Yarrowia lipolytica: one gene and its partners. The protein of the gene in region 1 interacts with the protein of each later gene in a pairwise test. Links are inferred from orthologs where the notes say so. Each region holds a gene or a part of one and is shown on either strand. Other genes may lie near its edges.

Evidence for each region.
Region 2: the proteins of YALI1_F39108g (region 1) and YALI1_F12080g interact in binary tests that used the Saccharomyces cerevisiae proteins (3 or more experiments, as listed by UniProt). The link is inferred for Yarrowia lipolytica from reciprocal best matches to the Saccharomyces cerevisiae genes UTP18 and UTP4.
Region 3: the proteins of YALI1_F39108g (region 1) and YALI1_F27132g interact in binary tests that used the Saccharomyces cerevisiae proteins (3 or more experiments, as listed by UniProt). The link is inferred for Yarrowia lipolytica from reciprocal best matches to the Saccharomyces cerevisiae genes UTP18 and UTP30.

What each region holds. Positions count from the first base shown.
Region 1 is NC_090775.1:3,909,252-3,913,228, forward strand, and holds YALI1_F39108g (uncharacterized protein), read left to right. Parts: upstream 1-1,548; coding exon 1,549-3,327; downstream 3,328-3,977. Other genes in the region: YALI1_F39106g (uncharacterized protein), read right to left, coding at 1-1,428; YALI1_F39128g (uncharacterized protein), read left to right, coding at 3,590-3,977. UniProt on the Saccharomyces cerevisiae protein: Involved in nucleolar processing of pre-18S ribosomal RNA and ribosome assembly.
Region 2 is NC_090775.1:1,205,305-1,209,681, forward strand, and holds YALI1_F12080g (uncharacterized protein), read right to left. Parts: upstream 2,705-4,377; coding exon 641-2,704; downstream 1-640. Other genes in the region: YALI1_F12052g (uncharacterized protein), read right to left, coding at 15-70, 452-591; YALI1_F12089g (uncharacterized protein), read left to right, coding at 3,662-4,377. UniProt on the Saccharomyces cerevisiae protein: Involved in nucleolar processing of pre-18S ribosomal RNA. Required for optimal pre-ribosomal RNA transcription by RNA polymerase I together with a subset of U3 proteins required for transcription (t-UTPs).
Region 3 is NC_090775.1:2,711,791-2,714,916, reverse strand, and holds YALI1_F27132g (uncharacterized protein), read left to right. Parts: upstream 1-1,652; coding exon 1,653-2,486; downstream 2,487-3,126. Other genes in the region: YALI1_F27141g (uncharacterized protein), read right to left, coding at 1-774; YALI1_F27101g (uncharacterized protein), read right to left, coding at 2,717-3,126. UniProt on the Saccharomyces cerevisiae protein: Involved in rRNA-processing and ribosome biosynthesis.

The DNA.
Region 1 (3,977 bases):
AACAAGAGCATAAAGCTGGTTGTTTCTGACAGCAATATCTCCCTGCTCCTCCTTCACCTTCCCCGTCCAATGAGTCAGAACATCGTAGTACTGATCAGGGAACATTTTAGCAATGAGATCAGAAACATAGGGCAGGAAACCAGGGTCTCTCCACTTACTAGACTTGGCCATCTCATCCACCCAGATGATGATGAAGTCATACATGTTGCTGTTGAGCTGGTATCCCGTAGCCATACCTCGCATCACCGACTTCGTGTACTCGTTATCAGGACCATCAGAGATATCCTTGGCCAAAGACACCGAAGTAGCTGTAAGTGAAGGATCTTGTCGCACCAAAGCAGCAATCAGACGCCAATCTCGTTCATTGTTCACCTGCCAATCCAATGCAAAGGCCTCTCTCGTAGGCACAGCCTCGTTGAAAAGCCTCACCAAAATGCTCTTTTCCACCTTGTAGCCCATCTCTGTACACTGATCCAGCAGCTCCACAGTGTACTGCTTGGCATTCTGGATTAGACCACTGACCAGAGGCACAACCAGATCCTTCTCACCAGTGGTTCCAGGCATAGTAGCAGCCACCTTTTCTCCCAGTCTGATAATGTGGGCATAGCCTCGAACAGGAGCCTCAGTGGAGAAGCTCAACACCTCAAAAGTAGTGAAGGCATACAGACCAGTGATGGGGAAGTGTTCGGGATCAAACAGGAATTTGGTGACCAGATAATCGATGAAATGTGCCAGGTCCTTGTTTAGATCCTCCCCGTCCAATAGATAGAAAATGTAGGGAAGATACGATCCAACCTCTCGACACTTCTTCTGCATATCCTGACTTCCCTGAGAAGACCGCTCCAAAAAGTTGAGGATCATTTGAGTCCATGAAGACACTCCAGCAATGTGTCCCACAGGCAGCCCGGTCTTCTGAAAGTTTGTAAGGGTCTTGAGGTAGTCTCCTGCGATTTCGACAGCGGCACTCTCTGTAAACTGCACGGCTAACGACCGAGACACCTTGTTGACGGCTGTGGTGATCTCGTCCAGCAGCTGAACGGAGCAGCCCTCAATGTTTTCCTTGATGGCTAGACTGACGATCTCTGTGAACTTGCTGTTTCTGTAGATTCGTTCTCTTGGCATGGCCAGATCCTTGGCCATGTCTTCCCACACAGTGATGAATAGCGTCCAGAATGCCGGGTCTGCTCGAGCCTCCTTGGCAGAGTCGGTCTTCTCGCTTATTTTGTCCATCCACCATTGCAAAACTGCGCACAACCGATGGGGAAAGTAGACGTTGAGGTTTCCGGCTACAATTTCGTTTGCAAACGGCAGAATCTGCACCAGAGGCACGCCCTTGCGTCGCAGATGACGCGATATCGATGCTGTAGTCTGTGTTAGCGGTGGATCTCGAGTCAATTTAGCCGGTGTACTCACTTCCATATCAGCCATGTTGTTGTTATCTGGGTCTGGTGTTGGGTGCACGAAATTTCCTACTCTGCATACAGGAATTTATTAGGCTCTGGAGCTTAAATAAATATTTTCAGGGTGGGTGCATTAAGCAGATTGTAAATGGGACTTCAAAAAAATAATACCACTACACATATCGAAACTACACACAACAAAATGAAATCACTGGAAGAGCTAGAGGACGCCACCGAAGGAGTCATGGTGGACATTGACGAGCATATGGAGGACTCCATGGACGTGGACTCTTCTGATGACGAGGTGCCGGATAAGGACGAGGAGGAGCTGGAGCTGGAGAAGGCCGTCTTTGGAGATCTAGAGGGCTTTGAGATGGGTATCAAGAACATTGCGCTTGAAGAGGCAGAGGAGGAGGATTCCGACGATTCCCATGATTCGGATGACGAGAATGATTTTAACAAGATGGAGGACAACCAGTTGTTCTTTGTTGATGGAGGAGACGGGCAAAAGTACCACTCTGATGACGACTCTGACGACGATTCCGACTCGTCCATGGACTCAGATACCCTCGATGAGACTCTAGAAGAGCACGGAGGACGTGCCGCATGGGCCGACTCGGACGACGAGAACGTGCACATTTCGCTGGTGGGAGATCACGATGGTATGCTCAAGAAGCTGCGAAAGACGCAGACCCAGGACTACGTTAACGGCAAGGTGTTTTCGCGACGGCTGAGAGAACAGTATAGAAAGATCTACCGGGTCCCCGACTGGGCTGCTAATGCATTCAAGGCCAAGGCCAAGAAGGACTACGATGAGGACGACTCTGAGGGGTCCGATGAGGAGGAGCAGGACGTGCTTACAGGCACTTCTCTGAGCGAGGTGCTTCAGCGAGTCACCCAGTACTCCAACAAGGAGTCCAAACTGCTTCGACACGGCGAAATAGAGGTTGCTCGACTTCAGGACGTTAACTTTGCTGCTCCTTCTCGAGCTGCCGTGGAGGGTCTCGCTTTCCACCCCACACATTCTCTGCTTCTGACTGGAGGTTTCGACAAGACTCTGCGACTATACCAGGTGGATGGCAAGAACAACCCTGTTGTCACCACGCTCTTCATGAGACATACTCCCTTTGCTCACGTGGCCTTCCACCCCGACGGCCAGAGAGTGTATGCTGGTGGCCGAAAGCAGAAGCATCTGTACATCTGGAATGCTGAGAGTGGAAAGGTGGAGCGAATGGCACATCTGTACGGCCATGGTGACAAGGTGCGATGTTTTGCGCAGTTCAAGCTCTCACCAGACGGAAAGTACCTTTGTGTAGTTGGAGTGGACGGCTGGCTGGCCATTCTGTCGGCTACCTCTGGACAGTGGATCGACGGCTGTAAGATTGAGGGCGACGTTGCCGACTTTGTGTGGGACGGTGGCTCCATTATTGCTGTCAACACCGCTGGACAGGTGTGGGAATACAACGTGGAAAGCCGTTCTTTCACAGCTACTTGGACCGACGAGGGAGGAGTTGGCATCACGGTGCTGGCTATCGGCGGCAAGGCTAACCAGTGGCTGGCTATCGGCTCCGAGTCCGGCTACGTCAACGTCTACAACCGACCCAAACTTGCATTGGAGATTGCTAAGGGCCAAAGCCCCTTTGTGCCCCAGAAACCCACTGCGGTTCTCTCTAACCTAACCACCCCCGTTTCGTCGCTAGTCTTCTCTCCCGACGGACAGATGCTTGCCATGGCCTCCGACCAGAAGCGAGACTCTCTCAAGCTGGTCCATGTTCCTTCGTTCACCGTGTTCAAGAACTGGCCCACTCAACATACTTCTGTGGGAGTTGTCACCAGCGTGGCCTTCTCCCCCAGCTGCGAGTACCTGACTGTAGGTGCCACCAACGGCAGAGTCCGAATGTTCCAGCTCGCCCACTACAAGCTTTAATAGTATAGATGCATATTAGAAGATGTTTATAAGAGAATCTGAGTAGAAGGGTAAGTGTATATACTGGGTCTAGTTGGGGAGCGACTGAGTACTTTTTACCTACATTTCGAAGTAATTTAGTAAACATTAGTTGCACAGTCCGTTTAAAAACTCTATCTAACTTAAGCTCATCTATCGAAATATTTTTGCCCGACATGTACCTTAAAATTATTCTGCCAAAAAGTATACCTACGCATTTCATACTCATACACCACTTACAAAAATGACTACCCCCGACCTGGAGGATAAGTCCTTCGACTCGTTCGGCCTTGATGACAGACTGTTGTCCGGCCTGGCTGCCTGCGACATGAAGCAGCCCACTCTCATTCAGAACACAACCATTCCTCTGGCTCTGGACAAGGGCGTGGATATCACAGCCAAGGCCGTCACTGGTAGTGGCAAGACGGTGGCCTACTTGCTGCCCATCTTCGAGCTGATGCTGAGAGCTGAGAAAGAGAAACGGGATATCCAGACTGCTCTGATTGTGGTTCCCACGCGAGAGTTGTGTGAGCAGGTGTCCAAGGTGATCACCAAGCTGACCCAATTTTGCCCCCATCTCAAGTCTCTCAACGTGACTCAGCAGCTCGGAGACGACGTTATTTCTTCTCTGT
Region 2 (4,377 bases), about 2.7 Mb from region 1:
TGGTTGGAGGAGACTCGCTTGAATGAGGCTCTCACCAGTGATAGGAAGAGACTCACTTTGAGCAAAGCGACTGAATGAGAATACTCACCCATGTAAAGAAATACTAATTGCATAGAGAAGGAAAGAGCTACTTGTGGGTGAACCGAAATGTCATCAATGGCGAGTATGGGCTGAGCACTACAAGTACTTGTAGAACGAGTAGATGTTTACCTAACACTCGCCCAACTACTGTGTCAAGCAGTAATCCGAGCACCCTAATGAACTCCGAGGATCTGATATTCTCTCTAACTGGCTCCTACTCATACAGTACGTACCTAGTCTCTTGTAAATAGTACATACTGTGCCACAAGTCGGTCTTTAAGGCAGATCTGGTCTCGAATTGCCCCCTCACCGACCTCCGACCTCATCAGTTCCATCTAACAGTTCATTAATATCTATTTAATCCATGCACCATGCCAACCAGTCGATCCACTTCGGGGACCCAAGTATCGCGCTAGACTGGATTGTACAGGTCTCGTACCCTATGTACCGGATACGTGACCTCATGCTAAAACACGTGACCTCACTCGGGCGTAACACGTGACCTCTCATGCCAAATACAACACACCTGTGACCCAAGTCTCCTGCTCGTCTCGTCCATCTAATCAACCCGCTTCTTCTTCTTGGACCAGAAGGCTGCGGGCAGAGGAATGTCGAACGCCGGTCGCTCGACCACCACGAGCTCGTTGCCGTCCACAATCTCCGCGCCGATGATTGGTCTGTATTTGCTGGTCGACCAGAAGGCGGTGGTAGTCTGGTTTTCGGAAGTGACGGGTTTGGCCGTCTCCTCTCCATCCAGACGTCGCTTAGGGACTCGCTCGACCGGAATGTTGGTCGAGGTGTCAACAAACGCCAGCCAGGTGGCTCCCCACATCCACACTCGCTGGGAGTGCTTGGAACTGGGGTCCAGGAACATGCCTGTGCAGTGGTCGACCGAAGAAGCCACGGGGTCGGGAATCTCGGGGTTGGATCGGCTCCACTCGGTCAGCAGACCCGAGCCGAGATCGAACTCCACCACCTTGTTGTCGGCCGTGGCCACCACCAGTGTCTTGGCGCCCGTGAAGGCCATCGCGGTAGCGGGAGCAGCAGACAGACGCATGAGTGTTCGAGCGTGTTTGAAGCCTCGGTCGCCCCGCACAAAAATCTCCGTGTGACCCGATCGCCGCGACAGAGCCAGATGTGTATCTGAAAAGGCAGCAGCGACGATTTCCGTCTCGTGTCCGTGGGCAATGAGGTTGCCCTTGAGCACCGCCTCGGGAACCTGCAGCTCTTCGATAGGTGCGAGCTCCTCGTTAAGCGAAATGAGAATGACGGAATCGGAGGAAATGAGCAGCAGCTCTCCAGCGGGCGAGAAGACGGTCAAGTGGGCTCCCTCCAGATCCATCAACTTGTTGGGTTTCAGAACGGGATGGCCCTTGGAAGAAAGCACCTCCTCGAGCTCGAAAAGTTTGGTCTCCTGAAGAGAAGACACCGCCAGAAGAGAACCAAACATGGCCACGTCAGAAATGTTGTCATCGGCAGACATGGTCAGTTTGCACACCAGTCTTCTCTGGCCGCCCTCAAGGCGTCTCCACAGCTTGACAGTCTGACCGTTCCACATGGCCACAATCGAGCCATAGACGAGAGTCTGGGTTCGCGGGGGAGCCACCGAGAACTTTCGGTAGGGGCCCTGAGCAAACTCGTTAACGGAAGCAACCACAAGCACCTTTTCCACGCCTCCAGATGCAAGAAGAGACAGGTTTTTGGCCTCGTAAGTAGCCAGAGCTCGCACGTCGTGGGCATTGTAGCCCCGCACGTTGGTCTGGTTCCATCGCTTGCCCACAGACTCGTAGCAGGCGATGGTCTTGTCGACACCCGCCGAAAAGACAGCGTCTCCGGCTGCATCGACTGCCAGACAGAGAATGTCGGCTTCGTGGGTCTTGAACGACTGGTTCAGAGCAAAGTGCGTGCAGTCCCAGAACTTGACCGAGCCCGTGGAGTCGCCGGAAACGATCAGATCGCCCTTGGCTCGCTTCACAACCGCCACGGTCCACACCAGAGTAGCGTCGTCCTGTGCCACAGGTCCCTTGGCAGTGTCGACCTTCATGGTGGCAATGGTGGATCCGTCTTCGTCCCAGACCCGGATCCGCGCGTCCGAACAGCCGCCCACCACCTGCGAGCCTCTCCATGCCAAACTGAGCACTCGACAGGTGTGTCTCTGAAGGACTCGCGAATGCTCCATCACACCAGGGCCTCCAGACAGATCCACCACCACCACGGAGCCGTTTTCGCAGCCTGCAGCCAGCTTGGTTCCGTCGTCGCTCACGGCAATGCACCAGATCACACCGCTGTGGCAGTCGTAGTTGACTCTGGGCTGGCCCGTGGACACGTTCCACTCGGTGATAGCGGTCGATCCTCCGATGGAAAACAGCCGCGGCTTGCCAGAAGAGTCGCCCGAGTCAGACCACGCCAGCCCCTCGACAGACCGGCCCTTTCCTCCCCGCAAAGTCGTCTCATGGAGCCAGTTCCATCGGGGGTTCCAAATTTCGATATCTCCATTATCTCGTCCCACAGCCAGTCTCAGGTCCGGCGAGGCGTTCTGGTCCAGCTCGGAGCGTCGGCTGAACGCCAGCGCCGTGATTCCGGCCGGATTGTAGTCCACAAAACGGCATCTATGAACGTCCATTGTGTTGTGTGCTGTTTTTGTGATATGTTGCACTCTCACAATTTTTTGGCTTACCTATATGCATATGCAGATTTTTTTTTATTTAGGCTTTGTCATGTGACTAATGGGTGATAGAAGCACCTACAAGTAGCGGACTATGTAGAGCCTGTATAACAAGAAAGAGGGCTTGAAGAGATTGCTAAAGACTGAAATGCTATGACAGTGGTTTCATTTTTGGTTTTGGCCACGTTTTACGTGTTTTGGAATTATCTCGACGAATAGTGGACGTAATAGAAATCTGAAAGAACCATGATATGGAGCGGAAAAAGACCAACAAGATGCATTTTTCAGAGTTGTTTTATCTAACCAGCAACACCATATTTTGTATAGCAAAGTGTGGTCTGGCGATGTTAAGTGTAGAGTCAATGGTGTTCAGAAGATGACTTGAATGGAGATTGATACTGGGCGTAATAAGTTTGATTTTATAATAATATCGTAAATTGACCGTTGCAACAACTTGCACTCTTGGATTTGTCTATATATATTCTCTAGTCTGTCTTGTAGATGTGTTCTGTTCTGCTTAAAGTAATTCTCAACAAACATTTATACTAAGCCAAGTAACACGTAACAAACTATTATACCAAGTCAAGTAATATGTAACAAACTATTACACCAAGTCAAGTAAAAGAAAACGGGGGTTCCATGCCCCCAAACGGACGAATATCACGTGAAAAAAAAAAAAAACCAAAAAAAACCAATCGTCAAATACATCTATACCACTTTGATAACCCCAAATGTCCTCTTTTCCTCCACTTTTCCACTCTCTGAATCACATGTCCCAAGCTGGAATCGAACCCCGCACAATATACAAAGTTTTCCCCCGGGTGGTTACCGTGGCAACGGCCTTTGTTGACGCGTTCAAACATCCCTTTGTCGCATCACTATACACCTGCCAGTTACATCAAACCACCACTCAGCATGACGACGGCCAAAAAAACACATGTCGGGGTCAAAGCCAACAACCGCAACGAGGCCAAGCTGTACTCGCTACTGGGGCAGTATTTCCAGGAGGCGCAGCGGTCGCTAGTGGCGCAGAGAAAGATCATTGTGTCCATGCAACAACTACACGAGGGAGCAGTTCAGTGGAACATGGAAGAGCAGTTCACGCGCAAGTTTCTGCTGCTGGTGAACCGCATGCTCACGTGCAAGAAGGGCGACAAGTCGGCCGACAAGGTGGTCGAGTTCATCGGCTCGTATGTGGGACGTCTTCAGGAGGAAGAGGAAGACCGGGATGAAGATGAAGATGATGAGGAGGAAGAGAGCACAGTGGCGTCTCGTTTCTGCGAGGCACTCATTCGTCACGTGCTCCGAGGAACCCAGGCCAAAGATAGACATGTGCGGTTCCGATGCTGCCACATTCTGTCTACCGTCATCAACTCTCTTAGTGACATTGACGACGACCTTTTTGAAGACCTGCGAGACTCCATGTTTGCGCGGTCGTACGACAAGGACGCCAGCACACGGCTAAAGGCCGTGTTGGCTCTGTGCCGAATCCAATCTTCTGCTGAGGAAGGAGAGGAGGAGTCCGCGGAGGAGAAACAGCTACAGGAGCTGCTACTGAGCTTGATCCAGAACGATCCCTCGGCCGACGTGCGCCGGGCTATCCTGTTCAACCTCAAGGTGACCAAGAAGAC
Region 3 (3,126 bases), about 1.2 Mb from region 1:
GACCATAGACTCGGGAGGCATGATGTAGTCGCGTGACGTGACAGGGTGGTCGTGGGGGTGACCTGGAACTCCTGCTGTTCGTCGGAAATCGTCCATCAGGAGCAGATTGTCTCCTCCCTTGACGGCCTCTCCGAGTCCCTCGAGCACAGGATCCACGTTCAGGTCCTGTTTGGGGTTGAGCGACGTCTTTTGACGTTTTCGTTTCCGTCCGTGAGCCTGTGCGTCTGATTCTGTACCTGCGCCAGGCTGGGGAGCGCCTCCAGATCCAATCTCGACAGCGGCAGCAGCCACCATCTCGTTGAACTCGTCCTTGCTGAACTCCTTGTTGAACTCCTTGCTGAATTCCTTGTTGAATTTTTCCTGGAAGTCTCCCTCGCCGGCAGCAGTGGCAGCTGCGACGGCAAACTGCTCCGAAAACAGGTTCTGGTTCCATGGCGTGTCAGAATTGTCGTTGAGAAATTCCCCATAATGAGCAATGTCTTCGTACTGCTGCTGCTGCTGTTGCTGCTGCTGTTGTTGCTGGCCTGCAGGAGCTCCTCCGTTGTTACCGACACCAACACCGGGCTTCTCCTTTTCGCGTTTCTCCTCGTCCTGAGTGAATCGCACCAGATGCATCAGAGCGCCCTCGACGGTCTCCTCGCCCACGTCGTCCTTGGTATTGTTGCCATCGCTCGTCTTTTTGTCATCCTTGACATTGCGAGGATCCTTGCCTTCGTCTTGGAGATCCAGCAGCGCCTGTGCGCCTTCCTGCGCGGGCTTACCCTCCTTGGGCATCTTGTGTGTAGGTGGCTGTGTGGATGTGAGTGTCACGTTGTGGTCTGGCGGCGTCTGGCGTTGTATCACGTGGTGCTCGTCGCGTACACTGTTTTGCGTTTTCCTGTATCTGTCCAAAAACCGCGTTTCGCGAAACGAGACCGGGTAATATCGACCTTGGGCAGATGGGAAGGAGTGTTGTAGATGAAAACTTTTCCGGGTAACTCCCCTCAAAACCTTGTTGTTGGGAGTGTCTGGGGGTGCTCTTGTGTGTAGCCTCCGTTGGTCTATGCCTATACGCGATGTTGTATGGCTTTACGTGTACTGTATCTCTGTGTGCGGTGGGCTTGAAAAGCAGACAGTGGTATAGGAAGATGAGAGTGTCAGACACTATCCAGCTACCATTATATCTCCCGTGGCTCACGTGGACAGCAGGTTTGCTACATCTTGGCTGCTTCCATACTCTATTTTACCGTGATATGTTGTACGCCACAATCAAACAAAGTTGGAGGCGGTCGATGTCAGGACGAGGGAACTCATGACTGGTGGCGAAGATTGGTGTGTGTATAGTGCTCGCTGTGTCGCGTTGTTCGTGTGGTGCGTGTGCGAGTACTCGTAGTTGTAGTCGTATTTGCTCGGATAGGCCGTGATTCCATGAAACATTCTGTCTGTGGCAACGATTGCCGTGTCCTCCATCATCTGCTATATGACCTCAACTTGGCCATCATAACATGCCGAACCTTCCTACCATACCAATGTTGTCACAAGTAAAGCCAACTAAAGTTAGTTGACAGGAGCTCAACTAGTTTACCCCTAGCAACCCCTAACCCATACAGCTCACATGCAGGTCTCGAATATTTTCGAAAGATGACAAAAAAATCCAGACCACCAGCGACAAGATGAAACTCACGCAAAAGCCAGCCATTAAGGCACTGTTCAAGTCCGCCAAACAGGAGCTAACCGAGGACCCCAACCAGCGAATTCCCGTCCACCTCACCGTCACCACAACATCCAAAACCAATGTCAGAGTTCCCGGGCAGCGAGGTATGAACAACATTTCAGTCCCCTATGTCATTCCTCTGCACCACAAGATCCACAAGTCGATATCCCAGGCGAAAATACTGCTCATAGTGCCACACCCTACCGCCAAATATGCAGAGATCTTCCAGGCTGACGAAGCTAGCACCAAAGACACATTTGCTGATATCATTTCGGTCAAGAAGTTTCGACCTAAATTGCGAAAGGACCCCTTGTCTGTCGGAAAGGACTTCGATCTGATTGTCGCCGACTCCCGAATCCACGAGGAGGTCGTGGAGTGTTATGATAGACTGTCCAAGAAGATTTCTCTGAGACATCTGACTAAGCCGTTCCCCATCAGATTCATCCAACCTGGAAAAGAAGACGATGCAAGAGACGCAAACATGTTTGCCGATCCGGACTACGTCAAGGCACAGGTGCGAGGTTTGCTTCGATCCACGTCGGTGACTCTCCCCAGATCAATGGCATGCGAGCAGGGCGCTGTTAATCTGACTGCCCTCGTCGGATACCTGCCAGACAATACCGCCAAGGAGATCGAGGAGAACTCGCATCGAGTGGCAAACAACATCGTCGACAACCTCGTGGACGGGGGAGCTCGATCAACCAAAACTATTTACATCAAGAGCCCTAAGACAGTTGGTCTACCAATCTGGAGACTGGAAAAGGAGGGCCAGACACTGGAGGAGGAGGAATAAACAGCATATATCCAATAGCATTATATAATAAGAACACACCACTACAGTACAAACTGTACTTGCACCGTTAGTGGCTGTACCAATACACACTAAATACGATACTACTTGTGTCTACGGACTACAAGGACATGTTGCTCGTAGCTAACTACAGTAGTACCTACGCGAACCAATTTCTCCGGTCGTAGTCCTCTCTCATAACAATCATACCATACTCTAAATACCCTCTATATTTATCTGGAAAAGGCGATATCGTCAATTCTGAGCAGACCCTTGGCACACTCGGCGGCCAGAGTGATGGCCGAGGTGGTAACCAATGCGGGCTGAATGACATGCTCCTCCACCATAATGGACGTTCCTCGTCTCACCGAAATGCCGGCGTTGACCTCGCCCTTTTCGTGTCGAACTCGCAGCTCGGTCACAACGTTGACCGGGTTGAGACCGGCATTCTCGGCCAGGGTGGTGGGGATCACCAGCATGGCGTTAGAAAACTCTTCGTAGCAAATGGCAGAAGCACCGTCCATGGCTCGAGACTCCTTGCCAATAACCTGTGCAACCTGGACCTCACAGGCTCCTCCACCAGGAACAAGGGCAGGGACTCGGAACAGCGATCTAAGGACACACAGAGCATCGTGCAGAGATC